4 linked regions of the Oryctolagus cuniculus genome follow. The protein of the gene in region 4 interacts with the protein of the main gene of each other region in a biochemical or structural test. Links are inferred from orthologs where the notes say so. Each region holds a gene or a part of one and is shown on either strand. Other genes may lie near its edges. The genes, in order: OCRL, KIF20A, BICD1 and RAB6A.

Evidence for each region.
Region 1: the proteins of RAB6A (region 4) and OCRL form a complex in vitro, tested with the Homo sapiens proteins (2 studies listed by BioGRID and IntAct, with this or other methods). The link is inferred for Oryctolagus cuniculus from reciprocal best matches to the Homo sapiens genes RAB6A and OCRL.
Region 2: the proteins of RAB6A (region 4) and KIF20A form a complex in vitro, tested with the Homo sapiens proteins (2 studies listed by BioGRID). The link is inferred for Oryctolagus cuniculus from reciprocal best matches to the Homo sapiens genes RAB6A and KIF20A.
Region 3: the proteins of RAB6A (region 4) and BICD1 form a complex in vitro, tested with the Homo sapiens proteins (3 studies listed by BioGRID). The link is inferred for Oryctolagus cuniculus from reciprocal best matches to the Homo sapiens genes RAB6A and BICD1.

The regions. Positions count from the first base shown.
Region 1 is NC_091453.1:107,239,346-107,246,385, forward strand, and holds the start of OCRL (inositol polyphosphate 5-phosphatase OCRL), read left to right. Parts: upstream 1-2,334; 5' UTR 2,335-2,568; coding exon 2,569-2,607; intron 2,608-2,858; coding exon 2,859-2,938; intron 2,939-7,040. UniProt on the Homo sapiens protein: Catalyzes the hydrolysis of the 5-position phosphate of phosphatidylinositol 4,5-bisphosphate (PtdIns(4,5)P2) and phosphatidylinositol-3,4,5-bisphosphate (PtdIns(3,4,5)P3), with the greatest catalytic activity towards PtdIns(4,5)P2.
Region 2 is NC_091437.1:25,990,793-25,998,012, forward strand, and holds the start of KIF20A (kinesin-like protein KIF20A), read left to right. Parts: upstream 1-2,499; 5' UTR 2,500-2,722; intron 2,723-3,145; 5' UTR 3,146-3,167; coding exon 3,168-3,332; intron 3,333-5,116; coding exon 5,117-5,203; intron 5,204-5,299; coding exon 5,300-5,419; intron 5,420-5,998; coding exon 5,999-6,137; intron 6,138-6,262; coding exon 6,263-6,450; intron 6,451-6,538; coding exon 6,539-6,668; intron 6,669-6,831; coding exon 6,832-7,026; intron 7,027-7,132; coding exon 7,133-7,220. Other genes in the region: BRD8 (bromodomain-containing protein 8), read right to left, coding at 815-911, 2,132-2,150. UniProt on the Homo sapiens protein: Mitotic kinesin required for chromosome passenger complex (CPC)-mediated cytokinesis. Following phosphorylation by PLK1, involved in recruitment of PLK1 to the central spindle. Interacts with guanosine triphosphate (GTP)-bound forms of RAB6A and RAB6B.
Region 3 is NC_091440.1:128,273,087-128,280,253, reverse strand, and holds the start of BICD1 (protein bicaudal D homolog 1), read right to left. Parts: upstream 3,791-7,167; 5' UTR 3,428-3,790; coding exon 3,215-3,427; intron 1-3,214. UniProt on the Homo sapiens protein: Regulates coat complex coatomer protein I (COPI)-independent Golgi-endoplasmic reticulum transport by recruiting the dynein-dynactin motor complex.
Region 4 is NC_091432.1:65,087,435-65,094,495, reverse strand, and holds the start of RAB6A (ras-related protein Rab-6A), read left to right. Parts: upstream 1-3,202; 5' UTR 3,203-3,719; coding exon 3,720-3,789; intron 3,790-5,334; exon of another isoform or gene 5,335-5,362; coding exon of another isoform or gene 5,363-5,399; intron 5,400-7,061. UniProt on the Homo sapiens protein: The small GTPases Rab are key regulators of intracellular membrane trafficking, from the formation of transport vesicles to their fusion with membranes.

The sequences.
Region 1 (7,040 bases), on a different chromosome or scaffold from region 4:
GCCGTGACTCGGATATGAAGCCTAGGCAGGGCTTAGTGTCGTTCCTCCACGAAGAGGGGGAGCGACAGATAAGCTGTCATCCTAGTGCAATAGTCATCCTACAATTTTGTGGCTGATTCAGTCTTTCTCCACTGACTTGGAATGTCAGATATCCTAAGTTTTGACTTACCATACATGTGTGAGAGTGTGTTTGGAGGCTCTATATTCTGTTCCATTGGTCTATCTCTATACTGTACTATTTTTTAAAAAGATTTATTTATTTATTTGAAAGTCAGAGTTACACAGAGAGGAGAGGTGGAGAGAGAGAGGTCTTCCATCAACTGGTTCACTCCCCAAATGGCCGCAACAGCCGTAGCTGCGCCAATCTGAAGCCAGGAGCCAGGATCTTCCCCCAGGTCTTCCACATGGTTGCAGGGGCCCAAGCACTTGGGCCATCTTCCACTGCTTTCCCAGGCCACAGCAGAGAGCTAGATCAGAAGTGGAGCAGCCGGGCCTCAAACTGATGCCCATATGGGATACCGGCACTGCAGGTGGCGGCTTAACCTGCTACGCCACAGCGCCAGCCCCTATACTGTACTCTTAATTACTGTAGGTTTAAAGTCAGTCTTGATACCTAGTCCATTACAGATTTCTGGAGAAAGTGGGTAACAGGATTGAAACAATACTTTGGGGGACTAGCATTGTGATGCAGTAGGTTAAGCAGCTGCTTGTAATGCCAGCATCCCATATCCAAGAGCTGATTGGAGTCCCAGCAGCTCTGCTTCCAGTCCAGCTTCCTGATACTATGACTTAGAAGATTGTTCAAGTACCTGGGCTCCTGCAACCCATATGGGGGACAGGATGAAGTTCCTGGCTCCTGGCTTTGGCCTGGCCTACATCTAGCTGTTGCAGCCATTTGGGGAGTGAAACAGCAGATGGAAAATAGCTCTTTTTCTGAGTCATTCTGCCTTTCAGATAAATTAGGGAGTCTTTTTCTTAAAAGGAAACATTACTCTGGGAAGAATATTTTTATGACTGTCAGCAAAGTAAAAAGGTCAAAGCAGAGATTAAAGCCAACAGGATTTGTTTAGGGAAAATGCTGTAACCTCAATAGGATATCAGAAGGGCTTACAGTAAGGTGATGCAGTACGAATTGAAAATCAGGAATCTAAAAGTAATTCCAAAGAAAAGGTTAACAAAAATTGTTGACAGATTAGAGACGGATATTAGGAAAGAGAAGAAAGCTATGGCTTTGAGGTTTCAATCCCCGTTAACTATGTGAAATGATGAATTAATCCTGTCACCATGTTCATTATCAGTGAGGTACATCAGGTGAGAGGTTTGGCCAGGGATATACATTTAGACGTTGCTTGCTTAGAAGCCACCTGGAGGAGGTTCAAAGTAGAAGTAAAGGTCAGCATTTTGGGGGATTTTCCAATTTATTTTTTTTTAAGATTATTTATTTGAAAGTCAGAATTACACACAGAGAGAGGAGAGGCAGAGAGAGAGAGAGAGATCTTCCATCCTTTGGTTCACTCCCCAGTTGGCCGCAATGGCCGGAGCTGCAGCGATCCAAAGCCAGGAGAGCCAGGAGCTTCCTCTGGGTCTCCCACATGGGTGCAGGTGCCCAAGGACTTGGGCCATCTTCCACTGCTTTCCGAGGCCATAGCAGAGAGCTGGATTGGAAGTGGAGCAGCCAGGACTATAACCCGCGCCCATATGGGATGCCGGCACTGCAGGCAGTGTCTTTACCGGCTATGCCACAGCACCGTCCCCTGATTTTCCAATTTAAGAGATAGAAGAAGTACAGGCATTGTGGCACATCCGGGATTAAGCTGAAGCTGCAGGCAGGGGCAACGCTAGCCTGCCGGTTCATGTCCAGGCTGCTCCGCTTCTGATACAGCTCCCTGCTAATGAACCTGGAAAGGCAGCTGAGGATGGCCCCTGCCACCCATGTGGGAGACTGGATGGATTTCCAGGGTCCTGGCTTCCGGGACATTTGGGTAGTGAACCAGCGGATGGAGAATTTCTCTGTCTCTCTCTGTAATTATGTCTTTTAAATAAATAGATAGATCTGTTTAAAGGGGGGGGGATAACCAATATGATGCATTGTATCCTGTTAAGGATTTTTTGACTAGAAGATGTGGATCCTATTGGCCCAACACGTTTGAGTTCTTTCATATATATGACAGTGTTTGGCTTATGTGGCAGTCTTCAGAGATCTCAGCACAATTGTAGTGTCACAGAAAACATGTAAAACATCCTTTGCTGGACGTTGGTGGAGACGCCCCCAGTCCGTCGGGTCTGTCGCTGCAGTTCTGCAGGTTGGCCACAGGGGGCGGAATCTGCGGCGGCCTGGAAAGCTGGCGGGGGCGCGAGGCGCCGCTCTCTCTTGGGTCAGGCTCTCCATTCCCGGCTCCCCGCTCCCGGCTCACGACTCCGGGCTCCCGGCTCCTGGCTTCTGGAGCCCGGCGCCGAGCAGTTTCTGAAACGACGCGTAGCCCAGGCGGGTGGGTGTGAGGACGCGGGAGGCAGTGTCGTCGGATCCGCCCGCAATCCACAACCCCGCAGAGCCCAGAGGCCGCCCGAATGGAGCCGCCGCTCCCGGTCGGAGCCCAGCCCCTTGCCGTATCCGCCGAGAGAAGGGGGAAGGGAGGCCGCACAGGGCGGGGGATGGGGGTCTGGGGCACTGCGGAGCACGGGGGAGCGGGAGGATCGCGGGGCCAAGAGGCCGAGCGGAGCGAGGGAGGGGTGGGTGCGGGAGGCTACGCCTAGGGGGGCGGGGGAAGGCGGCCAGCGGGGCAGGAGACTCTCCGCCCTGCACCACGCACCCATCCCCGACTGCGCGTCTACAGGAGACCCTTGACTAGCGCCCGCATACTGTGGAGGGTATGGAGATGAAGGGTCCTCTCCGCGAGCCCTGCGTCCTGACCCTAGCCCAGAGGAATGGGCAGTATGAGTAAGTAACCACCTGATTCTCACGGAGGAGGGGAGCCTGGCTTTGCCTGCCAACCCCAACCTGCGACGAGCCAGCGCCTCTCCTCCCACGCTGGCAACAGGTTCTGGCCTAGGTGTGAAGTGACAGTGCTCCTTAACCATGGGGCTTTGTCCCCAACTTCCAAGCCACTAGACTGTGCCGGGTAGTGTGGCTCGGTGGAGGGAATCACTGGGCAGGCTGCACTGACGTGGGTTGTGTAACCTTGAGCAAACCAATAAAGCTTTTTGGGCCTTAGTTTCCTCATCGGAGGAATAAAAACAAACTGCCTTACCTTTTAGCCTTTACAATGTGTAACTCACATAAGGCATAAGGTAATAACTGGGGGAATGATAAGTGCAAAAGTGCTTTCCAAAATGTAAAAGTGCCATGGAAATGCTTCATTGTTAATGTTACAGACTTGTCTTAACTCCATTCGGCTGGTTCCTCCAGTCTCCCCACCCCCTTATTCCACTTGCTTGAAGGCATATTCATTAATTCAGTTATGGGTTAGGATGGGCCATTAACTGCTGCAGTTAACTGTTGGAAAGAAAAAGTAAGGAAATGTGTAGAAATATAAGTGGGGATTTTAACAGTGTCTGTTACCTTCCACTCTGTCTTAGACACAGGAGCTCAGTAAATACTGCTGACTGATTGATCAAAAGATTATCTTGATAAGCTGTCACCAGAGCTGCCAACCTCACTCCCTTGCCACTGCTTCCTCAGCGTGAGAGTATCCATGGTGACCATTAGGCAACATAGGCTCCCTACCCCATATGCCCACCGGTTTCTTGTTTGTTTTTCTTTTTTTAAAGATTTATTTTATTTTATTTGAAAGTCACAGCCACACAGAGAGAGGGAGAGACAGAGATCTTCCATCTGCTGGTTCACTCCTCAAATGGCCACAGTGGCCAGAACTGGGCCAGGCCAAAGCCAGGAGCTTCTTATAGATCTCCCACCTTGGTAGCAGGAGCCCAGACACTCGTGCCGTCTGCTGCTGCCTTTCCCAGGCCATAGCAGAGAGCTGGATTGGAAGAGGAACAGCAGGGACACAAGCCGATGTCCATATGGGATGCCAGCACTGCAGGCAGTGGCTTTACCCATTATGCCACAGTACTAGTCCTTTTTCACTGGTTTCTTTACATCAGGTTTCTTCCTGGTTTAAAAATTGTTCATCCTTCAGGCAGGCACTGTGGCACAGCTGGATAAGCTGCTGTCTGCAGTGCCGACATCCTGTATGGGCACAGGTTTCAGTCCCAGCTGCTCTACTTGTGATCCAGCTCTCTGCTAATGCACCTGGGAAAGATGGGCCAAGTCCTTGAGCCTATCTCAAATCCTTGAGCCCCTGCACCCACTTGGGTGGCCCAGATGAAACTCCTGGTTCCTGGCTTTGCACTAGCCTGCCTCCAGCCATTGTAGCCATTTGGGGAGTGAACCAGTGGATGGGGGATAGGTAGATATCTCTCTTTCTAACTCTGACTTTCAACTAAATAGATATATCTTTTTAAAAAATTGTTGATCACTTGAATCTAGCCGTCTCTCAACAAAAAAAGAGAGGAAGAAATAGAGCTCCCATCTGCTGGTTCACTCCTCAAATGCCTGCAGTAGCCTGGGCTGGACCAAGGGAAAGCTGGGTACTCAATCCCGGTCTCCCACGTGGGTGGCAGGGACTCAACTGCTTGAGCCATCACCTGCTGCTTCCAACCGTGTGCATCGTCAGTAGGAAGCCAGAAGTCAATGCTGAAACCCAGCCACTCTGATGTGTACACCCCAACCAGCGTCTTAACTTCCAGGCCAAAATCCCACCCCTCCATCCTGTCCCACTTCCATCCTCTGTGTCTCTTGTCCAGATGTCCAAATTGCACAGAAGACATTCCCACAGGCCTAGTCTGCTCTTATTGGAGGTTGCTAGTGCCACTCTAAGTGCATGTCAACAGGTTCTGTGGAGTAGCCCTTCCCTAAGTCCTGATTGGTCAGTTCCATTCATGTGGGAAATTCACACTGTTTTCCCCAGATTTCATCAAACCTTGGAAGACCAGTTTAATGAAACTAAATTCTTCAGGAAGCTGAATTGAAAAGTGGGCTACCACTGCAACTTTCAAAGGGTAGGATCCAGTGGAGAGATGTGACCCTTGAACAAACCTGTGGATTTCTGTGCCTTGGTTTCCTCTTCTGTAAAAACAAAATTTAGAGGGTTGAATACAATAGCTGCATTGTTGAGATGACCACAGCCCAGGATCTGGTCCCTTGGTTAAGCAGATTTGGAGAATGAGGGAGTATGCGTCTGGCCTTGAGATATGTGCCTTATGTTCTCTGGCTCTTGAAGAATTTTTTAACTAGGCAGTAGCAGCTCTCCTGGCTATGTGTATTTGTAGAGAAATCAGATTCTTGTGTGCCAATTCTATATAAGGTATGGGAATATAGTAACAACTGGCAGTTAATGCCTTGATATATGCCAGGTACTGTTCAAAGCGCTTACCATTAATTAGTTCATTTAACTCTCATGTGAGAGTTATTCTCATCACCCAGCTTTTAGAGATATAGAAATTGAGATATAGAGAGATTAAGTCATTTGTTCACAGTTAAGAAGTAGCCGTAACCGATATCCGAAACTATATAACATATAGTTGTGTGTATATATATATATATATAGTTTCTTTTGGAATCATTTCCTGGAGACACCTAATACTGTACACAAGGGCACTTCAAAAAGGTTCTTGGAAATGTGTGTTATGAAAAAGAAATGTGGATTTCAAACTTTTTGCATCAATAAATTTATCTTTTTATTCCATTTTTCCGTAAACTTTTTGAAGTATCCTTACACAGTACAGTCGAAGCTCTACTGCTAATGTTCAGCACAATTTCTGTTCTCCAGATTTTGAGACTAAAATGGTTTGTGTTCATTTTCCTCAAAGTAAGCTCTTCCTCTTTGACCCTTGCTTTCTCAGCCTTTTATCTACTTTCCGGTCTCTGTATGAGGTTAGCGGACTCTTAGGCAACTCATGAGCTTTTGAGGTTGAAAGGGACCTGCCCCACATTCCTATAGTCAACTTAAAATGTAAACCACTTCAAATTGGGCAAGCAGGATCAGAGCAGGAAAACAGCATTAACACTGCCATTTCCTTTAGTTCTATGTAAGCAGTAACTTAGACCTCGTTATCCTCTTCAGAATTAGATTTGAAAAAAAATGAAAACCAGTCCCTTAAAAAGACAGCAGCACGAAATCAGACTCTTCAAAGCAATGACATTTTTAATGTCAGAGGTTGGACAAATGGAGGTGGGCATTTGGTGTAGCACTTAAAGTACCACCTGGGACACCTGCATCCCTTATCAGAGTTTTGTTCAAGTCTCAACTACTCCACTTCCTGCCGATGGGCAACCTAGGAGGCAGCAGATAACAGCTCAAGTATGGGTCCCTGATACCCACATAGGAGCCTAGATTGGTTTCTGGGATCCTGGCTTCAACCTCTCCTGGCCCTGGCTCTTGCAGGCATTTTGGGAATGAACAAGCAAGTGGAAGCTCTCTCTTCTCTCTGCCTTTCAAGTAAAATTAAAGAAACAATTTTTTTTTTAAATGTATTTGAACATTTAAAAAATGTATTTGAATTTAATGATGTTTAGAAATTCTTACCTCTGCTTATAGCTTGATTAAGCTAGTTCATTTATTCCTCCAGTATTTATTGGGCATCTATTAAACAAAACAATATGATAGGGTTTTTGCTTTCAAGGAGCTCAAATCAGTAGAACTATAATGGAGCATGTGTGTTTAATTAGAAGGACAAGCAAAGGGAATAAGACTTCTGGTTCTACTTGGGGTTACAGAGCAAAGCTTCACAGAGGAAGTGGTATTTGATCCAATTCTCAGGAAGAAAATAGTATTGCTGGAAAAAAGAACCACTTGGAGAGTAACTGACTTTGGGGAAGCTAGTTGACGTTGAGAATGCTTACTAGTATGTTGTGTTTTGATTCTGGGGTGCTAAGTTTAAGTAATAAATGAGACTTCATCTTTCAGGAATACATATGGATTTAGAAGTCTTGTATTTCATACTGGGAAGCCAAGTTCAGTCGTGTTTATGTAGAAGTGTCA
Region 2 (7,220 bases), on a different chromosome or scaffold from region 4:
GATGAATTTCTCGGCTTTGGCCTGGTGGTTATGGTCATCCGGAGAGTGAACAGTGAATGGAAGGTATCTCTCTTTCTCTCTCTGTAAGTCTGCCTTTTAAATAACAGATATCAACTGAAACAAAAAAACAAAACAGACTCCTGGTTTTAGCCTGGATCACCCTGGGCAACTGTGGTCATTTGGGGAGTGAGCCAGCAGATGGAAGAGCTCTCCCTTTCTCTCTGTAATTCTGCCTTCCAGATAATTAAGTAAACCTTTTATATATTTGCACAATGAAATAAATAATTTTGTAAAACAATAAAAATAATAATAGTGCAAGAGCAGGCCTTTGGTGTGGTGTGAAGATGCTGATTGAGATGCTCACGTTCCATATTAGAGTGCCTAGGTTCAAGTCCTGGCTCTGATTCCAATTCCAGCTTCCAGCTAATGTACATTCTGAGAGGCAGCAGTGATGGCTTAAGTACTAGGGACCCCACCTTCCATGCGGGAGGCCTGACTGAGTTCTGGGCTCAGTTCCCACTGATGCAGGCATTTAGAAAGTGAAACAGGATGAAGACCCATCTGTCTCAGTTCTTCAAATAAAATGAAAATAATTTTTTTAGGGAGAAGGAATAATGTAAAATTAATTATGATGTTAGTTGTACAATTCTGTGAATATACTAAAAACCACTGAATTGTTTATTTTAAATGAGTTAGTTCTACAAATTATATACCACTAAAGCTATTAAGAAAGAAATACTACTCACACTAATATGACTAAAAAACCCAATGTTGAAAATATGCAACAATTCCTAAGATCCAAAAAGCATCTTACCAATTTTGATCTCCACTCCTCATGACAGAAGATGCTAAACACAGCTTCTCTCGGATGGACCATGGCTCTGTGGGGCCAGTACTCAGCAGCTTGTGTTCTGAAAGGAAAAAAGGCTTGGAGACCACCACTGGGAAAGTTTTCTGTGTCAAAGAAAGGACTGAAAGCCCAATACAAATATCAAAGATTCTTGATTTTCACCACACCACCGGCGATGGCACCTACTGTATTCTTTACACTGGCATTATAGCATTATATTTTTTCAAATGCCATAGCTCAAGCTCAGATTAAAAAAAAAAAAAAAAAAAAGGCAGGGAATGGGGAGAGAATGCCAGATTAAGACGAACCAGTTGGGGTCGGTGCTGTGGCATAGTGGGTAAAGCCGCCGCCTGCAGTGCCGGCATCCCATAAGGGCGCCGATTCGAGACCCGGCGGCTCCACTTCCAATCCAGCTCTCTGCTGTGGCCTGGAAAAACAGCAGAAGATGGCCCAAGTCCTTGGGCCCCTGCAGCCACAAGGGAGACCTGGAGGAAGCTCCCGGCTCCTGACTTGGGATCAGCGCCGCTCTGGCGTTGAGGCCAATTGGGGCGTGAACCAGTGGATGAAGACCCCTCTCTCCCTCTCTCTCTCTCTCTGCCTCTCCTCTCTCTGTGTAACTCTGGTTTTCAAGTAAAAATAAATAAATCTAAAAAAAAAAAAAAAAAAAGGTGAATCAGGCTGTCACTAGAATACAAGGATTCCAATTTGAACGGAAGGGCTTATTTCCCAGGATTCCGAGCGGCCGCCGGCCCCGCCTCCCTCTTAGCATAAACTTGTTTACTCCCAACGGCCCCTTCCCCCCAACCGTCGGGCCTGAAGGTCCTCTCCTACCCCAAACACGGAAATGGCTGAAACGCACGAAACGCAACTTCCCCACGGACAGAAAAAAGCCCACGGCTCAAATACGCACTTCCACTGCCTCGCAACGTTGGTCCGAGAATGACTGGCTCTTTGAAATGCCTGCCACTCCCACAGAGCTCGCGACAACTCTTCATCAGCAACCCCAGGTTTCCAAGCTGCCTTTACCTCTGACCCTACACAGCTCATAACACAAAAATTCACGGAGCTGTTTTTCTCGTCCTTCTCCCTCCCTGAGGTGAAAGACCGTAAACTCTGGGGCCCTCCGACGCTTATCTTCACGACACGGCCTAGCCCAAATCCCTGAGGACTCCGGGCTCCCCGCCAAACCACTCTTTCGATTTCCTAGCCGTGCGACAGAAATGTGGTGTTTAACCCCGGCTCCCCAACGGCCTCCCAAACAAAAGCAGCCCCGATACTCACTGCCCGTCCCCGTCGCCATCTTGGCTCCGAAGTCTAGCTCCTGAGGAGAGGCAGTCCGACTCGGCCGATCTCCGGGAACTCTGGGAAATAGAGTACGGGCGTTGCTTCGCGGTGCCTCCTGGGAAATGTAGTTTTCTCTCCGAAGACGTAGCGAACGCTCTGAACCAGCGGTCTTGTGCGTTCCGGGAAAGGGCTGTTACCACATAAAAGACAAAATGGCGACTAAAACTTCACCACTTCTTTTAGGCCTCTTGGGAACGAAATGTCTAGACTTCAAGGAAAAGAGTCAGGAATCCCAGGTGAGACACCTGAGAGCCCGCAACGGTTGGTAACCCGGACCCACATTGCAGTTGAGAGGTCACGCTCAAGTAAACGGTCTCCCAGTCGTCCCCGCCTCCTTCCCTTACGCTGATTGGTAGCTACAGGCTTCGCCAGCTGATTGGCCGAGCGAACGCAGCGCGTAGTTTAAAACATTGTATCGGGAACAAAGCTGCACCTCGTGGGTGGAGTTTTACTCTCAGGCAGCCGACGAAGTGATTCGGAACGAGACGTAAGCTGGTACCGCAGAAGGAGCGAGTGTCACGGCCTCGGGTGAGTGTGCGGACGGGCTGCACGCAGCGTTACCAGCTCTTGCCCGCGAGGAGTAGGCGTCCGGAAAGCGGAACTGGAGACGCCTCGTCTCGGTGGGCGTTGGGGTGCAGTCGGTGGAGCCTGCGATCCTCCCAGCCCCGGCGAGCCAGGCTCCCTCCTCGGAGCGTGGCCTTCCGCTTTTGCAACCTGATAGCCCAGGATTAACGTTCGCCTTCGAAAATGCCGCCTTAGGCTGGATTAACTTTCAATCCTCATCGCCTTTCCCTCTGCAGATAAGATACTGGGGCTGGGGCAGTGGGTGGGGAAGGGCGTAGCAATTCTGGCAGCCGGGCCAGGTGTCTTGGGACTGGGCCTTTTTTTTTTTAACCTGGTTTGAAGCCTCTTCGTCCCAAGTCCTTGCTTCACTTTCTTGTCTCCTTTCAGACCTCGGCTGCCCCCTGCTGTCATGTCGCATGGGATCCTTTCTCCGCCCACGGGCTTTCTGTCAGATGAGGAGGTGGGCGTCTCCCCCATGTTTGAGTCCACAGCTGCAGATCTGGGGTCTGTGGTTCGCAAGGAACTGCTGTCGGACTGCTCCGTCATTTCCGCCTCTCTAGAGGACAAGCCACAGGTAAAGGACTAGGGGGAGTGGCTCGGGCGGCGGAAGGCCTTAGCCACAGTTGTCCACGCAAGGTAGAAGTTCTGAGATAGCAATTCAGAATTAAGGGTATGACAAGCAAAAACCCCGTAGAATATGTGGCCTCAAGTTCCTGCTCATGGTTAGCTCCAAGGGAGAGAGCAGTTCCTTCTCTTCACCACGAGGCCCAGTTAAGTGTTGGATAATTTGCACAAGTTCGTCCTGGTGTTAAGTGCAATGGCTTAGCAACATCAACCATTTGTTTAGCTTTCCGCTAGGCCAAGGTTTCTCAGCCACAGCATTATTTGACATTTGGGGCCATAGTCTTTCTTGTGGGGGTTGGCCTTTGTATGGTAAGGTGTTTAACAGCATTCTTGGCCTCTGTCCACTGGATGTCAGTAGTAACTTCCCTATTCTGATGACCAAAAAGTCTAGAGATCACTAAATGCCCCTTGTAGCTGGGAGAAGTGGAGAAATGGCCCTGGTTGAGAGCCACTTTACTAGGCCCAATGCTGAATGTGTTTGTGTGGTTTTTTTTATAAGATTTATTTATTTATTTATTTGAAAGGCAGAGGCAGAGAGAGGTATCCATCCACTAGTCTACTCCCCAGATGGCCACAAGGGCCGGAGCTGAGCTGTTCTGAAGCCAGAAGCCAGGAACTTCTTCTGGGTCCCCGACACGGGTGCAGGGGCCCAAGGACTTGGGCCATCTTCTGCTTTCCCAGGCCATAGCAGAAAGCTAGATCGGAAGTGGAGCGGCGGGTCTTGAACCAGTGTCCATATGGGATGTTCACACTGGAGATGACAGCTTTACCCAGTATGCCACAGCACCAGCCCCTGCTAAATGTTAACATGCTTTGTTATATTGTCTTTTTTTTCTTATCTTTTTTTTTTTTTTTAAGATTTGTTTATTTATTTGAGAGATAAAGTTACAGAGAGAAAGAGATAGAGATCTTACATCTGCTGATTCACTCCCCAAATGGCTGTAATAGCTGGAGCTGGGCTGATCTGGAGCCAGGAGCCAGAAGCTTCTTCTGGGACTCCCAGGGCCTATGCCTGAGGGCCATCTTCTGCTGCTTTCCCAGGCCATAGCAGAGAGCTGGATCAGAAGAGGAGCGGCCGGGATAGGAACAGACCGGCACTCATGGGATGCAGGCGCTGCAGGCATCTGCACTGCATGCCACAGTGACAACTCCTGTCCTTTCTTAGAGTTTTTCTTAGGAACTTAAAGTTCCATCAGAATCGAGTCCTTGACAGTGTCCCTCATGGACTACCAGAACCTGTTGGAGTTTGGGCCATAGTGGGCACTTTGAATGTCTGTTGAATGCTTGAACTGGGTGCTATTAACTCCATTCTACAGATGAGGAAACTGAGGCAAAACATTTTAAAAGCTTGTTCAAGGCTTCATAGTTACTAAATGATGGAATTGGAACTCAAATTCAATTGCGTCTGCCTTGCAGCCTCCCAGCAGCTTAATGACTTGATATCCAATAGTATCACATACAGATTTTCATACCAATCAACCACTTCTAACTCAGATAATTGGTATGGCAAACTAGGTTTGGAGGATACTGATAAGACAGAAAAGGGTGAGAAAGTAGTAAAAAAAGAAAAGTGTGTGTAGGTTGGAATGATTGTGGAACCAAGACTAGCTGCACAGACATTTGGAATGGAATGGGGTGATGTCAGTGTGATTCCTAGGAACTGTGCTGTTTGCCATTTGCTCAGAGGGGGCTGCTGAGATTAATCCATGGTTCCGGATTGGAATTCTGCCACAGGTTCCACCAGACAGTGCAGAGAAGGTGAAAGTTTACCTGAGGGTCAGGCCCTTGTTACCTTCAGAGTTGGAACGACAAGAGGATCAGGTGAGTGAGGAGGGAGTAATTTAAATGGAATCATGTAGTAGAGAAGAGGTTCCCAGGAATGTTTTCCTGTGTGACAACTATTTTCCTCCATCAAAGGGCTGTGTCCGTGTGGAGAATGTGGAGACCCTGGTTTTACAAGCACCCAAGGATTCCTTTGCCCAGAAGAGCACTGAGCGAGGAATTGGTCAAGCCACCCACAAGTTTACCTTTTCCCAGGTATGGAGGAACTGGTCTGTGAATAAGGGACAAGCTTCTAGTGGCAACTTGTTTCCTCTTGAGAAGGAGGGCTTCTCTCTGTTATAAGTTCCTTATTTATGCACACATCTACAATTCTGGGGGCCCTTGACATGTGCTCATCATTATGCCAATTACTTCATGTGCATTAATATCCAACAGTTCTTATTATTACCATTATCCCTATTTTCTTGACAAGGAGTCTCTGGTTCAGCAGCAGTAATGTTGCCAAAGCCGAGCTGATTGTTAGTGGTGGACTTAGGACTTGGATCCTGATCGTCCATCTCCAAAGCCTGTGCTTGGGACCACTGTGCTGCCTCGCTGAGTGTGCAGCACGAGGCCCAGTGCATAGCACTGCCTAAGTATGTGTTGAGCTGGATGAAAGACGCACTAGCAGAGTGGTTGAGTTGTTGGCATTTGGGGAACTTCTGGCAGCACTATAAGAAGGAACCCTTGGGTGGTTTCCAGAGCAAACCACTATGAAGGGATATGCCATGCTGGCTCTGCATGGGAGAAGGGAAGGGAAAGGATCCGTCTCTGAGAAGCTGGGTCTGTCTCTAGATCTTCGGGCCGGAAGTCGGACAGGCATCCTTCTTCAACCTGACTGTGAAGGAAATGGTAAAGGATGTAATCAAAGGGCAGAGCTGGCTCATCTACACCTATGGAGTCACCAACTCAGGGAAAACCCACACAATTCAAGGTGAGTAGTACAGCTACACAGTGTTGCTGACTGGCTTATAATGATTTTTTTTCTTTACTTTTTGATCCTGCAAGTTAGGGACAGAAAGGACTTGTTTCAGCTGTGCATCTTCTGTATACCTCTAGGTACCATCAAGGATGGAGGGATCCTGCCCCGATCCCTGGCTCTGATCTTCAGCAGCCTCCAAGGCCAACTTCATCCGACACCTGACCTGAAGCCCTTGCTTTCCAATGAGGTAATCTGGCTAGACAGCAAGCAGATCCGACAGGAGGAAATGAAGAAGCTCTCCCTACTAAATGGAGGCCTCCAGGAGGTAAAATGTTGGTATACATGGACGCTGGGGCAGTAGCTACAAATCTCAAGAAAGTTTTATGCTAACCTTGTCCTTGCCACCCCTCCAGGAGGAGCTGTCCACCTCCTTGAAGAGGAGTGTCTACATTGAGAGCCGGATGGGTACCAGCATCAGCTTTGACAGTGGCATTGCTGGGCTGTCGTCCACCAGTCAGTTTACCAGCAGTAGCCAGTTAGATGGTATGTACTGTGACTTAGTTCTATGTCAGGTAACAGCAGGAATCCATTCTTTGATACCAATAAGTGCCAGAGGTCTGAGCTCTGCCTTCTGAGGCTCCCCATAGGCCAAAAGTGAGATAGACTGCGCTAGGGCTAATGCTTTATATGTTGGCTTCTTCCCCAGAAACAAGTCACCGATGGGCACAGCCAGACACTGCCCCAGTAAGTGTCCCAGCAGACATTCGCTTCTCCATCTGGATCTCCTTCTTTGAGATCTATAATGAACTGATTTATGATCTGTTAGAACCGCCTAACCAGCAGCGCAAAAGGCAGACTCTACGGCTATGTGAAGATCAAAATGGCAATCCCTATGTAAAAGGTATGGGACTACTGGGGAGGCTGGCGTGAACCCTAGAGGGGACTTGGGAAGACACTAGGAAGAGCTAGGAGTTTGTATCTTATGCCCCTCTCTACTTTGACCTCAGATCTCAATTGGATTCATGTTCAAGATGCTGAGGAGGCCTGGAAACTCCTGAAGGTGGGTCGTAAGAACCAGAGTTTTGCCAGCACCCA
Region 3 (7,167 bases), on a different chromosome or scaffold from region 4:
TAAAATTTGTATTTAAAAATTACATATTTTTATAGAAAAATTATGGGGGCCAGTGCTGTGACACAGCGTGTTAAGGCCCTGGACTGCAACACCAGCATCCCATATGGCCGCCAGTTCGAGTCCCAGCTGCTCCACTTCCAATCCAGCTCCCTGCTAATGTGCCTGGGAAAGCAGCAGGGGATGGCCCAAATCCTTGGGCCCCTACACCCATATGAGAAATCCAGAGGAAGCTCCTGGCTCCTGGCTTTGGATCAGCTCAATTCCGGCCATTGCAGTTATTGGGAAAGTGAACCAGTGGATAGAAGATCTATCTCTCTGTCTCTCCCTCTCTCTGTCTGTAACTTTATCTCTCAAATAAATTTAAAAAAAATTTTTTTAAGAAGGGGGAGGAGGATAAAGCCACCACCTGCAGTGCTGGTATCCCATATGAGTGCCAGTTCAACTGCCGGCCGCTTCATTTCTGATCCAGCTCTCTGCTATGGTCTGGGAAAGCACTAGAAGACGGCCCAAGTGCTTGGGCCCCTGCACCCATGTGGGAGACCCAGAAGAAGCTCTTGGCTCCCGGCTTCAAACTGGTGTAGCTCCAGCCATTACAACCATTTGGGGAGTAAACCATCAGATGGAAGGTCTCTCTCTCTCTCTCTGCCTCTCTCTCTCTCTGCCTCTCTGTAACTCTCTGCCTTTCAAATAAATAAATATTTTTTAAAAAAAGAAAAATTATGATATTTTCATTACTCTGCATTAAGAAACCACTGATATTATTCCTACAAAACATTTTTCCTCATTTTTCTCAGTACTGATAATGAAACTAATAGTTTTTGAAGACTAGCTAATTTATTTATTTGAAAGACAAAGTAAGAGAGGGAAAGGGAGAAAGAGATCTTCTACCCACTGTTTCACTGCCCAAATGCCCACAACATCTGGGACTGGGTAAGACTGAAATCAGGAGCCAGGAACTCCATCCCGGTCTCCCACATGGGTGGCAGGGACTCAAGTACCAGTGCCATCATCTGCTGCCTCCAAAGTGCATGAGCAGAGGCTGAATCAGAAGCAGAGCAGCTGACTCAGACAGGAGCTCTGGTGTCAGGGATGCCAGCACTGCACATGGCAGCCCTAACCAGTGCACCACAAGGCCTCCCCCTTTACTAGTCACTTTCTACACTTCCAGTTTTCTTAGGAAAATGTCAGAGGCAGGTACTGTGGTTAAGCTGCTGCTTGGGACACTCCCATCCCACATCTAAGTGCCTGGGATCAAGTTCTACCATCACTTCCTGTCTCCTGTGTGAAATACTCAGATTGAGTTTCCAACTCCTAGCTTCAGCCTGGCCCAGCTCTGGCTGTTGTGAGCACTTGGAAAGGAGCCAGCTGACAGAAGAGCTCTCGCTCTCTCTCGCTCTCTCTCGCTCACTCTCTCTATGCCTTTGCAATAAGTCGAAGAAGGAAAGATGGGAGGGAGGGAGGGAGGGACGGAGGGAGGTTACAAGAGGCTGGGGTGGTTGGGTGGAGGAGGGGTGGGGAGGTATTAGTCCAAGGATTCATAATGTCACTCTCACAGCAGGAATAAGTTGAAGAGATCCATGGCACAGCAAGACAACTACAGTTAATGAAGCTACACTGTATTCTCAAAAGATGCATACAGTGGGTAAGTGTTCTCACTGTGTAAATAACTAGGAAGTAACATATTTGCAACAATCAGATAGATTTAACCATTCCATGGTGTGTATATGCTTCAAATCATCATGTCATCAGTGACAAACACAAACCATTTTGTGTGTCTATTTGAAGTAAATAAATAATAGGTTTCTCGTCTCAAGAGCCTGTGGTCTTCTAAACGCCACAGCCAACTGCAGCAAGGTTCACCACGCAGGGGAAGTGCAAGGACAGACTCCCTAGCTGAAGTCAAGCAGGAAGGCCAGGCAAAGTTTCGTTCCATTTCAGCACATGAAACCCCTCCTGCACCAAGAAGGTGATGCCCTCACACCGACTGCTCTGCACTCCGCTAATCAGCGCGGAGAGGTGAAGACAGCAGCAACACAGCTCCAAGAATTACAGTCCTCATCCTGTCGCCTTCCTCCAAGAGGCTCCCGCCACGGCACGGACACATGTCAGACCAAGACCTAATCCAATTTGGAAAATATAAACAAATCCAGCCGCTGCTGAGAACAGACGTGCGCACGGTTTAAAAAACAAAACAAAGCACAGACTAGACACTGACAGCCTGATACATAAAAATTAATTTCCACTTGGGTTTTTAAGCACATGTACTACATCAATTTCTTGGTATTTAGGCATCAGAAGAAAATAAGGCATCTCCGAAAGTATAAATGCTTACTGTATTATGTACTCATTTAGAAGGCTGGGTGTCGGATAGGTTATAAATCATGTTTTTTAACTGTAACAACACACGACACCTCCCCCCACCAAAAAAAAAACACAAACTTACCTTGTAAGAAAAGATTTTGAGAACACTGTATGTCAAACAAGAATTAGCTTTTAAAACGCCAACAGGCGCCTAAAACACAGACTTGTGTATATTCATTTGCATTCCTGGCCAGTTCCCTGCCACCCCCAGCGCCTCAGCGACCAGGGGAAGCAGACGGCGCTCCTCAAACAGCAGGGAGGACACACGACGTGCGGTGTTCTGGCTTCCTGGCCACCGTCATCCCCACACCGTGTGCCTCCTCGGACACGCAGGGCCACCCGGCCCCCGACAGGCGAGGCGCCCCGGGAGCACTCGCAGGGGAGTTCCCCGTTCCCGGGCCTCAGGGGCAAACCCACTGGCGGCTGCGTCGGGCAGCAAAATCGCTTTAACGTCTCCTTAAGCCCAACGACCTGAAGGGCCACAGGGCCCAGCCCAGCCCCCGGCGACCCGAACTGCTCAAGACTTCTCCGCACCACAGTTCCCTCTCCCACCCGGCGCACCTGGCGCAGATCCGGAACCGCGCGTCCTGGGGCGCAAACCCGGGACGGTCACGGTCACCGGCACGGAGCCGACACCGAACGGAGAGAGAAGTTGGGTGCGCGCGTTCCAACGCCGCTGAACGCCGCCCTCGGGGACCCCTCCGACCTCTCCGCCCCTCGGGCACTGCCCCACCACGTTCCAGCCCGCGACTCGGTTCGTGGGTGATCTTCCTCTCGGGAGAAAAACAAAGGGCGCCCCAGCCTCTCCCACCCACCCAGGGGCCCAGTCGCAGCCCCGGCCGCGCGCCCTCACCTCTCGCAGCTGCTCCAGCTCCTGCTTGAGGCCGTCGTAGGAGGCCTCCAGGTCGTCGTACTGCTGCTTCAGGGCCAGCTTCTCCTCCAGCACCGCCAGCCCGTACTCGGCCGCCTGGATCTTCTCGTGCGTCGTCTCCGTGAGCTCCCTGGTCAGCCGCTCGATCTCGGCCTGGTACTGGTCCGCCGTCTGCAGCGCCTCGGCCGCGGCCATAGCCCCGGCGCGCGAGGCGGAGGAGGCGCACGGGCGGCGGCGGAGCGAGCCGGCCAAGGCCGGCGGGGACGCCAGGCAGAGTGCGGCGCCGGCTCGCAGCCGCGCGTCCGGGGAGCCGAGGCCGCGCGCGCGCGGATGCTGGGTCGCGGCGGGCGCTCACGGCCGCGTCCGGGGCGCCGGCCCCCGGGAGCGCTCAGGGGCCGCGCCGCATGGCCCGGGCGGGGCGCCGGGGGGCTCCGGGCTCCGCGTCCTCAGGGGCGCGCGGCCGCCATGTCTCCCGGCCGCGCCACTGCAGTAGCACCCGGCCGCGGCGCGCGCTCCTCGCTGCACCTGCTCACTCCGGCTCCGCTGCAGCCCGCGCCCAGTGATGCAGGCGCTCCCGGCGCCCTCCGGTCCCGCCCGGCCGCGGCCGCCGCTGCCGCCGCCGCCGGAGGGGGCGGGGAGCGTGGAGTCGGCGCGCGGGGAGGGGCGGGACCGGCCGGGCGCTCCCGAGGCGCCTCCCGCCGGCGCGCGGGGCCGCCGCCAGCTGCTCCGCCGGGAAGGCGCACGGGGTCGGGGCGGGGGCGGCGGGATGTGCGCACGGGGTGGGGGGCGGGCGTTCACTGCTGGCTTTGTCCCGGCGCACGTCCAAGCCCCCGGGGGTGACCTGGGCGTCCACTCTGGAGCTCGGGAAAGCCTGGAGTGGGCGCCTGCTCCAGAGAAAAGCGAGCCAGGCTACCGCGGTGGGCGCCCGCACAGCCTTCCCGGCCTGCTTCACCCAACAACCGCGACGTCTCCAAGGCCTGACGCGCTCCGAGGTGCCCGCCTCCCCCATCTCTGGTCCGGCCTGGTCCTCCGGGCTGGCCGGCGTGCTGTGCCCATCTTATCCCAAGATCAGTCGGCTCAGAAAAGCACCGCCAGGCAGCAGGCGCCCCGTAAGGTTCCAGAAGCTGTACTTCCTAACCCCAATGGTGGTTCTGTCAAAGTGCCATCTGCCTCTGATTGCTCAGTAAAGGATAATAGCACGAAATTCCCCATATAAGGCATCAGCAAGACCCTACAATAAACATTTGAACTGAAGAGTTCTTGGACCACGTGCAGGCTTGCTTCTGGGTCTGCCGCACCATTCTTTCCAAACACAACAACTGTCTGAGGCAGGAACCAGGACCCCCTCCCCGTTTGTAATGGGAGAAGAAGGCATGGAGGGCTGATGTGTGCAGGATCAGGCATTCGTTAAGTCCATACCCATGAGCATCTTCTCCGCAAGACCACTGATGATCTGAATCCCGCTGCAGAGCCCTGCACAGGACCCCTCCGTGGACTTGGTCTTCACACATGACGGACACAAACTCAGCAACCAAGCATTTCAGGCTCCTGAGAGCCCCCCAGAGAACGCCTGGGGAGTCAGTGTGAGGGCAATGAGGAAGAGACACAAAGAGCCGAATGCAGAGTAGAAGCGGTGGCAGAGACCCGGGGAGATGAGAACCAAGAACAACCAAGGATTCCTTACGTCCGTGTCTACAAATCATAGTGAATCTGCTAAAAGTTAATTAACATGAAAATTAAAAATGAAATTTAAAAAAAAAAGGAAAAGGAGCAATTTCACACGCCTGGGTGACTACTGGGTCTAACTAGCCCCTGTCCACTCTCCAGGGGACTTCTTCCCACGCTGTCTCAGCGGCCAAAATGTGTTCAGCACACAGGGCAGTTTTCTTACTAAAACAGAGGCTGCTGCTGTGGAGGGGGCAAATGAGCAACCCCAGCAGGCTGTCTGCTGGCGATTTGCACTGCCTCAGGAAAGGCACGAAAGAGTCCCTCCAAGTGCTGAGCATCCCAGCAGTGTGTTCTCGTGTGAGTATCCGACCTAAGAAGTCGGTAAGTCAAAGGAGAAAACACTCAAAATGTGGAGGCACCATGAACTCTGACCTCCTACAGATAGGGGGTGACCAGGAACACATCGCCCCATCCCTGCAGCTGAGAGTCCCTCCTCTGCTCCCCTCTGTCTTCTGTGTCACTGAGGAAGGATGGCCCACTGCTGATGACACCTGCTCCCCCTCACCTCACCGGCCTCATCCAGGTAAGTCCCTGGCCATTGCTCATGCCAGCACTCTGAGCATAGCCCTCCAAAGGGGCCACTGGCTGGAGAACACTGCCTGGATCCCCCTTTGCTTTGGCAAGGACTGAGACAGTAGTTGGGCTCCGTGATTTTCCTTTGTCTAAGTTTCCATGCTGCCCATTCTCTGTGCTCTATCCTGCCCCGTTTTTCTGACGGATGCCTTTCTGTTAATACCTTCAGTCCAACTTCATCCAAGCACATCCAGCAATACTTTAAAATTTTGCTGAATTCAGGGGTAGGCGTTTGGCACAGAGATTTAAGTCACTGTTTGGGATTTGCATATTCCATATTGCGGTGCCTGGTTCAAGTCCCAGGTATTTTGCTTGAGATCCAACATTCCTTTAGTGCATATCCTAGGAGGCCGTAGGTGGTGACTTGAATACTGGGTCCCTGCCACCCATGATGGAGTTTCCAGGCTACTGGCTTCAGCCTGTCCCAACCCTGGCTGCTCTGTTGCAGGCATTTGGGAAATGAACCAACGGCGCTTTATCTCTCTCTCTCTCTCTCTCTCTCTCTCTCTCTCTCTCTCTCTTTTTCTCTCTCCTTTCAAATAGAGTAAAAATAAATGCATAAATAATTTTAAGAATAACTTGCTTAGTTCAATGTTGAACTAAGCAACTATATGTGTAGGTATTTAACATGAAGGAGTGCTTACTTCCTCATACACCATGCCCTTCTATTTCTGCAGGTTACTATAATCATGTATACCAATTATAAATATGTATGTGTATATATATATATCAATGACAAGTATGTAGAAAATAATTTGTTTTAAAATTTTTATTTCCTTGTCTTTGAAAGGCAGAGAGAGAAAAATCTTTATTCTGCTGGTTCTCTCCCCAGATGCTTTGAACAGCCAGAGCTGAGACAGCTGAATGAAGTCTGGAGCCAGGAACTCAATCCAGCTCTCTGTGGCAGGGATCCAAGCACTGGAGCCATCGCCTGCTGTCTTCTGGAGTGCACGTTATAGAAAGCTGGATGGGAAGCAGAGGAGGCAGGACTTGAACCAGGCACTCTGATAGGGGATGCCGGCATCCTAAGCGGTAACTTAACTACTAGACCAAATTTCTACCCCAGAAAGTAAGTTCTTGAACCACTCCTCAAAGCAAGGTTTCCTTATACTTCTTTATTCTAGGAGCCTCCAGTTGCTTACAGAACACTTACTTACAAATGTTTAGGAAAAAAATCACATTTTGTGACATGCTAACTCAAGCCAATCCCTGAGCAGCCTTGTCAAGATGAACAGGAGTACTGATTTCTCTTGCTATCACTCATCCATTCACTCCTTAAACAGACATTTATTAAGCATTCATTTTGTACGAGGCACAATGGTAAATGACCAGTGAGATGTTCCTGAGGTCACAGTTTCTGTTCTGGGAGAGACAGACAAAACAAAACGAACAATAACAACAAAAACCGAAAGGACAAAGTACTAGAATGATTCCGGATTACGACACTGACAGCAGGATATAGCACCGTGGTTGAGACTAAAAACTGGTCTGCTGGGGTCAGATCCGAGTTTACCACCTGCTAGCTGTGGGTGCTACAGACGCCTCTCCCTCAGAAAGGCATCTGGCATGGCAGCTAAGATGCCACGTGGCATGCCTGCATCTCCTACTGGATTGCCCGGGATGAGTCCAGGCTC
Region 4 (7,061 bases):
GTAAAAGGGCCCCAAGGGCTCTCTCTTACTGTTTTTCATGTGAGGGCACAGTGAGAAGCTGGCTGCTCAGGAAAGCAGGCCCCAGAAGATTCAACGCTTTGATCTTGGACTTTCTAGTCTCCAGAACTGAGAAATGTTGTTCAAGCCACCCAGAGCCACCCAGCCTATGGTATCCTGTTACGGCAGGTGAAATGGACAAAGACAGCTTCTTGAAGTGGTAAGTATAACTGAGGAGATGGACAGGAAAATGTTCAAGATAGAGTGCGTGCAGGAAATTAAGGAGGTGAAATGTTGATAAAAGGGCCTTCAAAAACGGTCTAATTCCTCCTTCTTCCAGATAATTTTCCATTTACTGAGCCCCATATTACTTGACATGCAAATTTTAGACCACACACTTTTTAAAATTAAAGGGGCAGAGAGACAGACAGACAGACAGACACACACACACAAACACACACACACAGAGTTTCCATCCACTTGTTAATTCCCTAAATACCCACAAGGGCTAGGGGCCAGGGCCAGGAGTCAGGAACTCAAATCTAGGTCTCCCATATAGGTGGCAGGAACCCAATTACTTGAGCCATCACCATTGCCTCCAAGAATTTGCATTAGCAGGAAGCTCGAGTCAGGAGCCAGAGCTGGGATTGAAACCAGGTAGTTTGTCCAATATGGGACACCGTCATCTAAACTGGCATCTTAATGGCTAGACCAAATGCCCATCCAAACCATAAAATTTCAAACATTTGACTTACATAGAGTACTTGATAAGTATCAGTGATTAGCACCCAACCTATGAGGTAAGAGATGGATTTTGGCACACCTCTCTTCAAAATAACAGGGAATAACACTAGCTGACTGGGTGACCACAGAGACCAAAGCATCAGGGTAGAGTTGATTCACAGAGTTCTGGAGAAATACAAAGTCATTACAGTTCCAATCTCAGATGCTACTTGAAAAGCTACTTCAGAAAACATAAAGAAAAACCTGGTATTCATCAGAAAGAAAAAAAATAGCCATTCGCTTTTGTTTGCAAGCGTTTTTTAAAAAATAGCTTCTTTAGGGAAGACATTTGGCCTAGCAGTTAAGATGCCACTCTGGGAAACCTCATCCCATATGGTAGTGTCTGGGTTTGACTCCAGGCTCCACTCCTGATTTCAGATTCCTCCTAACGCTCACCCTGGGAGATGGTGGTGATAGCTCAAGTAGTTGGCTTCCTGCTGTCCATGTGGCAGACCTGGGTGGAGTTTCTGGTTCCTGGCTTTAGCCTGGCCCAGCACCAGCTGGTGTGGGCATTTGGATGAAGATCTCTGTCTTTGTCTCCATCTCTGTCACTCTGCCTTTCAAATAAATAAAAATGTTTAAAATCTTTCATTTAGTTGTTTTGTTAGTGTCATGTTAGTTAGCATGTCATGTTAGTTTCACACATTTTTTTTTAAACAAAAATATATGCGATATACTGGTGTTGCAGGCAGTAGCTTAATCCACTACACCTCAGTGTGGGCCCCTAGTTTTCCAGACTATACTAAGTAATTCTTAGATTCTTTTTGGTTGTGCCGTTAACCTTCTTTTTACAACTTTCTTCATTTGAAAGACAAGAGTGACCTAAGGAGGGAGAGGCAGAAATCTTCCATTGGCTTGTTCACTCTCCAAATGCGTGCAATAGCTGAGACTGGGAAGGCCAAAGCCCAGGAACCAAGAATCCCATCTGATTCTCCCACATGGGTGGCAGGAACCCAAGCCCTTTGGCCATCATCTCCTGCCTCCCAGGCACATTAGCAGGAAGGCGGATGGGAAGGACAGCCAGGACACTATTCCAGGCAATCTAGTAGAGGCTGTGGGCGTCCTAAGCAGCGGGCCAGAACACCCACCCCAACTTTGCTTTTCTGGACAATGAAGTAGGCTGAAAATGGGATGAAAACTATGGGTCCTCTCCACAGAAAAACGCACCTGCTTCATAGGGTTAGTTTAAGGAACCTTCTTCACTCGTGGCAGAATCCCCGCTTCAAGCAGCAAGGGTAATTTTTTTTTTTTTTTTTTTTTTTTTTTTTAGGATTTATTTATTTGAAAGGTAGAGTTACAGAGAGACAGGCGGATAGAGAGAGAGAAGGAAAGGTCTACCATCCACTGGTTCACTCCCCAAATGGCCGCAATGGCAGGAGCTGGGTCCATCCAAAGCCAGGACTTAGGCCATCTTCTACTGCTTTCCCAGGCCATAGCAGAGAGCTGGATTGGAAGTGGAGCATCCGGGTCTGGAACCAGCGCCCATATGGGATGCTGGCGCCGCAGGTGGCCCCCTTAACCGCTCAGGCTTTCTAATTTGTAGCCTTCCAGAAAGAAATTTCTTATGTGGACTTCAGTTGCATTATCTGTGAAAAGGGGCTGAGTGTAACTGATCTGTAAACCCTTTTCTGGCAAGGTGGGCATCATCTAGACTCTAGAGTTAGCAATGCCGAAGGAGCAAGCAAACCAGTTTAGGCGAGGGAACTGGATGGGTTTACCAATAAAGGGGTCGCAGAGGTTCAGGTGGCAAATGAACCTGGGAGCCACCTCACAACCTGTGGATTTTGCAAGTCATTTCCTCCCTCCGGGTTTGTTCCCTCCTGTGCAGAATAAGGAGGCCCTGATTCTGGCAGCTAAAACACCCTTGGAGCAACCGAGTCTAAGACGCCGTGAGAAGAATTAAGATGAAGATGACGGTGGGGGTGGGCACACGCGAGAAGGGCGGCCCCGAGGGCTGTGAGGCAATACTGAAAGCTCGGGCAAGAGGCACCTATTTCACACCTCGAGGGTATCCGGTCCCAACCGCACACCGCCGGGGTCATTCCGCCTCCGTCCCGGCCCCGCCTCCGCCGGCTCCATCTTCCTTTCCCTCCTCTTCTCCACCTCCCGCCCCCAGGCTGCGCCCTGCCACACTCAGCATGGCCGCCGCAGCGGTCCGCTTTCCACGCCTCCACGGCCGCGCGCGCTCTCGCGCCTCCACCTCGCTCTGCTCCCTGCCTGCCCTCGGCCTCTTCCCATTGGCCCACCCCGTAAGTGACGTAAGTGTTCCATTTTTCCTCTCTGCCCCCCCAACCACATACCGCCCCTTTCTCCGCCCCGCCCCCTCCTCGGTTCTCCCTGCCTTAGACTCCGCGGCGCGGGAGGAGCGAGGACAGCTGGCTGGACCAGGAAGGCGCTGGCGGAGGCGCGCACGCGCACGCGCACGCACGCACGCACGCACGCCGGCTGCCGGAGGGGCGGCAGGCTCGCGCCCGGGCTCGCCCTGCGCCGCGCCAGAGGCTCGCGCACTCAGCAGGTTGGGCTGCGGCGGCGGCGGCAGCGGAGGAGCTGGGTGTGAGAGGTCCCGGACGCGTCTGCGGCTACCGCTGCGCCACCTTCCGCCTCTCCCACCCCAGTCTCCGTGCTGGGCGCTGAGGAAGGGAGCGGTGCTAGCCTCAGGAGCCCTGAGCACAGCCCTGGGTGTTTCGACACCGCCCTCCCTCGCCTCCCAGCCGCGGGCCTCGCTCGGTGTTAGGCGACTCTGCGGGGAGGCGGCGGCTGCTGCTGCTCGTCTGTGGCGAGTCCCGCCGTCCTCCAGCCTCGCTGCTCCGCCGGGGCCCTGCAGGGGCCGAGAGAGCTCGGCACTCGCCTTTCCGCTCGCCCTTATCGGCAGCCGGTTGGAGCAGCGTCGGTCCGGGCGGTCTCTGGGCTGAGGCGGCAGCAGCTCCTCCGGCTCCATCATGTCCGCGGGCGGAGACTTCGGGAATCCGCTGAGGAAATTCAAGCTGGTGTTCCTGGGGGAGCAGAGCGGTGAGTGCGCGGCTCCCCCACTCCTGGCAGCCGGCCGCGGCTTCCCCGCACCGCCCCCGGTGCGGCCCTCCCGTCCGCGGAGGCTCCCTGCCGACCTCGCGTCCGCGCTCCGCTCCACCCCGGCCCCTCTTGGCCCTGCTCGCTGGGTCGGGTTTTTCATTTTTCCGCCGGCCCCGAGTCCCGAGCCTGCCTGCTGCCGGGGTCCCCGCAGCCCGGCCCGTCCTCACCCCGCCCAGCCCCAGCCGCCTTGTCCATCTCTTTCTTCCTCCGGGCCCCAGCGTCCTCTCGACCCCCCTGCTTTCCTGAGCCCCACCCTTGTCCCCTGCTCCGTCCTCAGCTCGCGGGCGAGGTGAGGCCCACCCCGGGAAGCCCCCGCTCCTGGGGACCGGCCCTTCTTCAACCTTGGGCACGGCGGGTGGGAGCTGGGCGTTGTTTTCCCCAGAGGCTTGGCCCTTGGAAGTGCTGAGCTCCTGGGAGGGGAGGAGTGGTGGGCGTAGGAGAAAAAAAAAATCGCGGCAGGTTTTCACCTGGGTGGGGAATTGGTCTGGCTGTAGAGGAAATATTTCAAAATTGGGGGCGATTTGAGAATGGGGTGGTCGGGGGTGAGCGCGGTGTCGTCGGCAGTGGCGATTTTTTTTTTTTTGCCCCATGGATTGGGCTGTGGCTTGTCGGCAAAACCTTATTTTTTCTCTTGACTTTCATCGCCGACAATTCTTTGGGCATTGTTGATGCTTTTTCGATCTCTGCCAGATGCTATGTCATGATCGTTTTACTTGGAATTTTTCAACATCTCACCTCCCCTTTTTTCATCAAGAAGCAGTGTCCGATTCTCCTCATGGTGGTGCACACAGGAATTACTGGGAAATGTTAATTATTCATTTCTTCTTGAGTGTTTTCCAGTTTAAATATATATATATATATGATTTATGTGAGAGAAGGCTTAGGATGAACATCTTTTGTAAGATTTCCTTTGGGTAATGGAGTAGAGTAGGAATAGATTCATCATCTAGTTACCTAAATTAGATTTAAATGCCATTTGGGCTAATTTTTTTTTAATGCTTAATGTTTTATGGTATCTGATGAGTGAAATTGTTATGTCATTTACCTGGTCAGGATTGTTGATGTATTTTGTATTAGATACAACATCTTAATTTTGTAATGGCTGTCTCTAAGAGTACTTCTTATGGTAATGATAGTTTTATGCTATATTATACAAACTTGACAGTAATTGAGAGAGTCACCGTCCTTTGTTTCTCTCAAATTTTTCATGACCATCTTTAATTTCAGAAATGGAGAGACTAGTACCAAGTCATCAAGTTTTGGAAATCTAGTTATCTTAGGTGAGGTTATAGAAGCCATTAGTTATTTGCTTTGACTGGAAGGCATATCAATGATATAAATTCATAGCTGTTACTATTACCTTGAACTATTTATACTAATTTGTATGACAATATAGTAGGTTAATGCTTGTTGCAAAATTGCCTCCATTTGGACCTAGAAAATAACTTGTCTCCTTTCATACATGGATTATCTTCCCTTAACCAGAGGAAGGAAACGATCTCCCTCTCTTTGCATGTGGATTTTCCTGAAGTATGAACATGTTCCTTTAGGTGAGCAAATTGTTAGAACCCATGGAACTGGTTCAGCCATTATTATATGGCAGTTTCAAGAAAGTGCCATGCATAAAATACAGTTTATTGGTCATTATTGATAAATAGACCCTAATGGGCTTATTGTGCACTTTAGGGATGTTATTGCCTGCCTTATGTTGTGTTGCAGAGCCATTTAGTTTGCATGAGAAAGGCATTAATCTTTGTGTCTGGGAATACTTCAGCATAAATAGAGATCTTTAGTCTGCAGGATTCTTTTGAATTTCTTAGGTGTTTATGTTCTAAATTACAGAGTTTTGTTTACTTCCGTTAGCTGTTTTATTAATTCTCTACTCCTATAATTCTTGAAGCCTTGTGAGATTACAAAAAGAAAATGGGCTTCATTTTTTAGAACAGTTTCAGATTTGCAGAAGCATTGAGATGATAGTGTGGAGGGTGTCCATATATTCCTGCACCTGGTTTCCCCTGTTACTGACATCTTACATTAGTACGATATGTTTATTAACAGTGAGCCAGTATTGAGACGTTATTAGCTAAAGTCCGTAATTTAGATTGCCTTAGTTTTTAACTCATGTTCTTTTTCTGTTTCAACACTCAGTTCAGGATACCACATTACGGTTAGTTGTCCATAGGCTCCACTTAGACGGTTTTCAGGATTGTGTTTACATGCTTTTTTCTCTGAATTGTGAGGTTAATTATCTTTTGAAGGCTACTGTACTGCTAAGTAATATTACCCAATAGCTTTGACAATGAAAGATTGATCTCACTTTCTGTGGTCAGTGTCTAGTTTTCTTATGCATTAGCAGAGGTCTGTAGAATCTGTCATCTTGATGTAATTCTTCATGAATTATTTATTTTTGGATCTGTTAGAATTCCACAATTTAGCTCTCAAAGCCTGTACTCTATGGCAAAGCCTTGTTTGTTTCTTTAGTAGCATTTACCTCATTTATAATTATATTATTTTTTGTTGTTGTTGTTTTTGTCTATTTCCCACAGCAAGATGCAAATCCCGTTATTGTTTTTGTTCATTGTGTTCCCCATTGAGTGCTCAGAAATATTTGATAAAATAGTGGTTGAATCTAGTAGTAACCAAAGGTTGTAGCCTGTGCTATTTTTCTGCTATGGTGAAGTTAATTTTTTGTTTTTTGTTTTTTTTTTAATTTATTTATTTTGAAAGAGTTGAGGGTAGGGTAGAGAGCAAGACAGAGGGGGAAGTTTTCCATCTGGTTCACTTCCCAGATGACTGCAATGCCCAGTACTGGACCAGGCCGAAGCCAGGAGCTTCATGCATGCCTCCCTCAAGTGGCTGGGGCCCAAATACTTGGGTCATCTTTTCCTGCTTTTCCTAGGGAAAAAGCAGGGAGCTGGATAAGAAATGGAGTAGCCAGGATGAGAACGGACACCCATATGGGATGCCGGCATCGCAGGCAATGGCTTTACCCACTAGGCCACAATGCTGGCCCCTGGTATAAACTTTCTGTGGTTTCTCTATAATTCAATAGTATATGTGAAATGTTGAAATACACGGTTCCTGAAGTTTCCTTCAGGAATATCTTTTTTTAAATATCAAGATTTTTGTTTGTAGACTTTATTTGAAAGAATGTCAGATATTTCCATTCACTGGTTCTCAGCTGAATCTGGGCCAGGCTGAAGTCAGGAGCC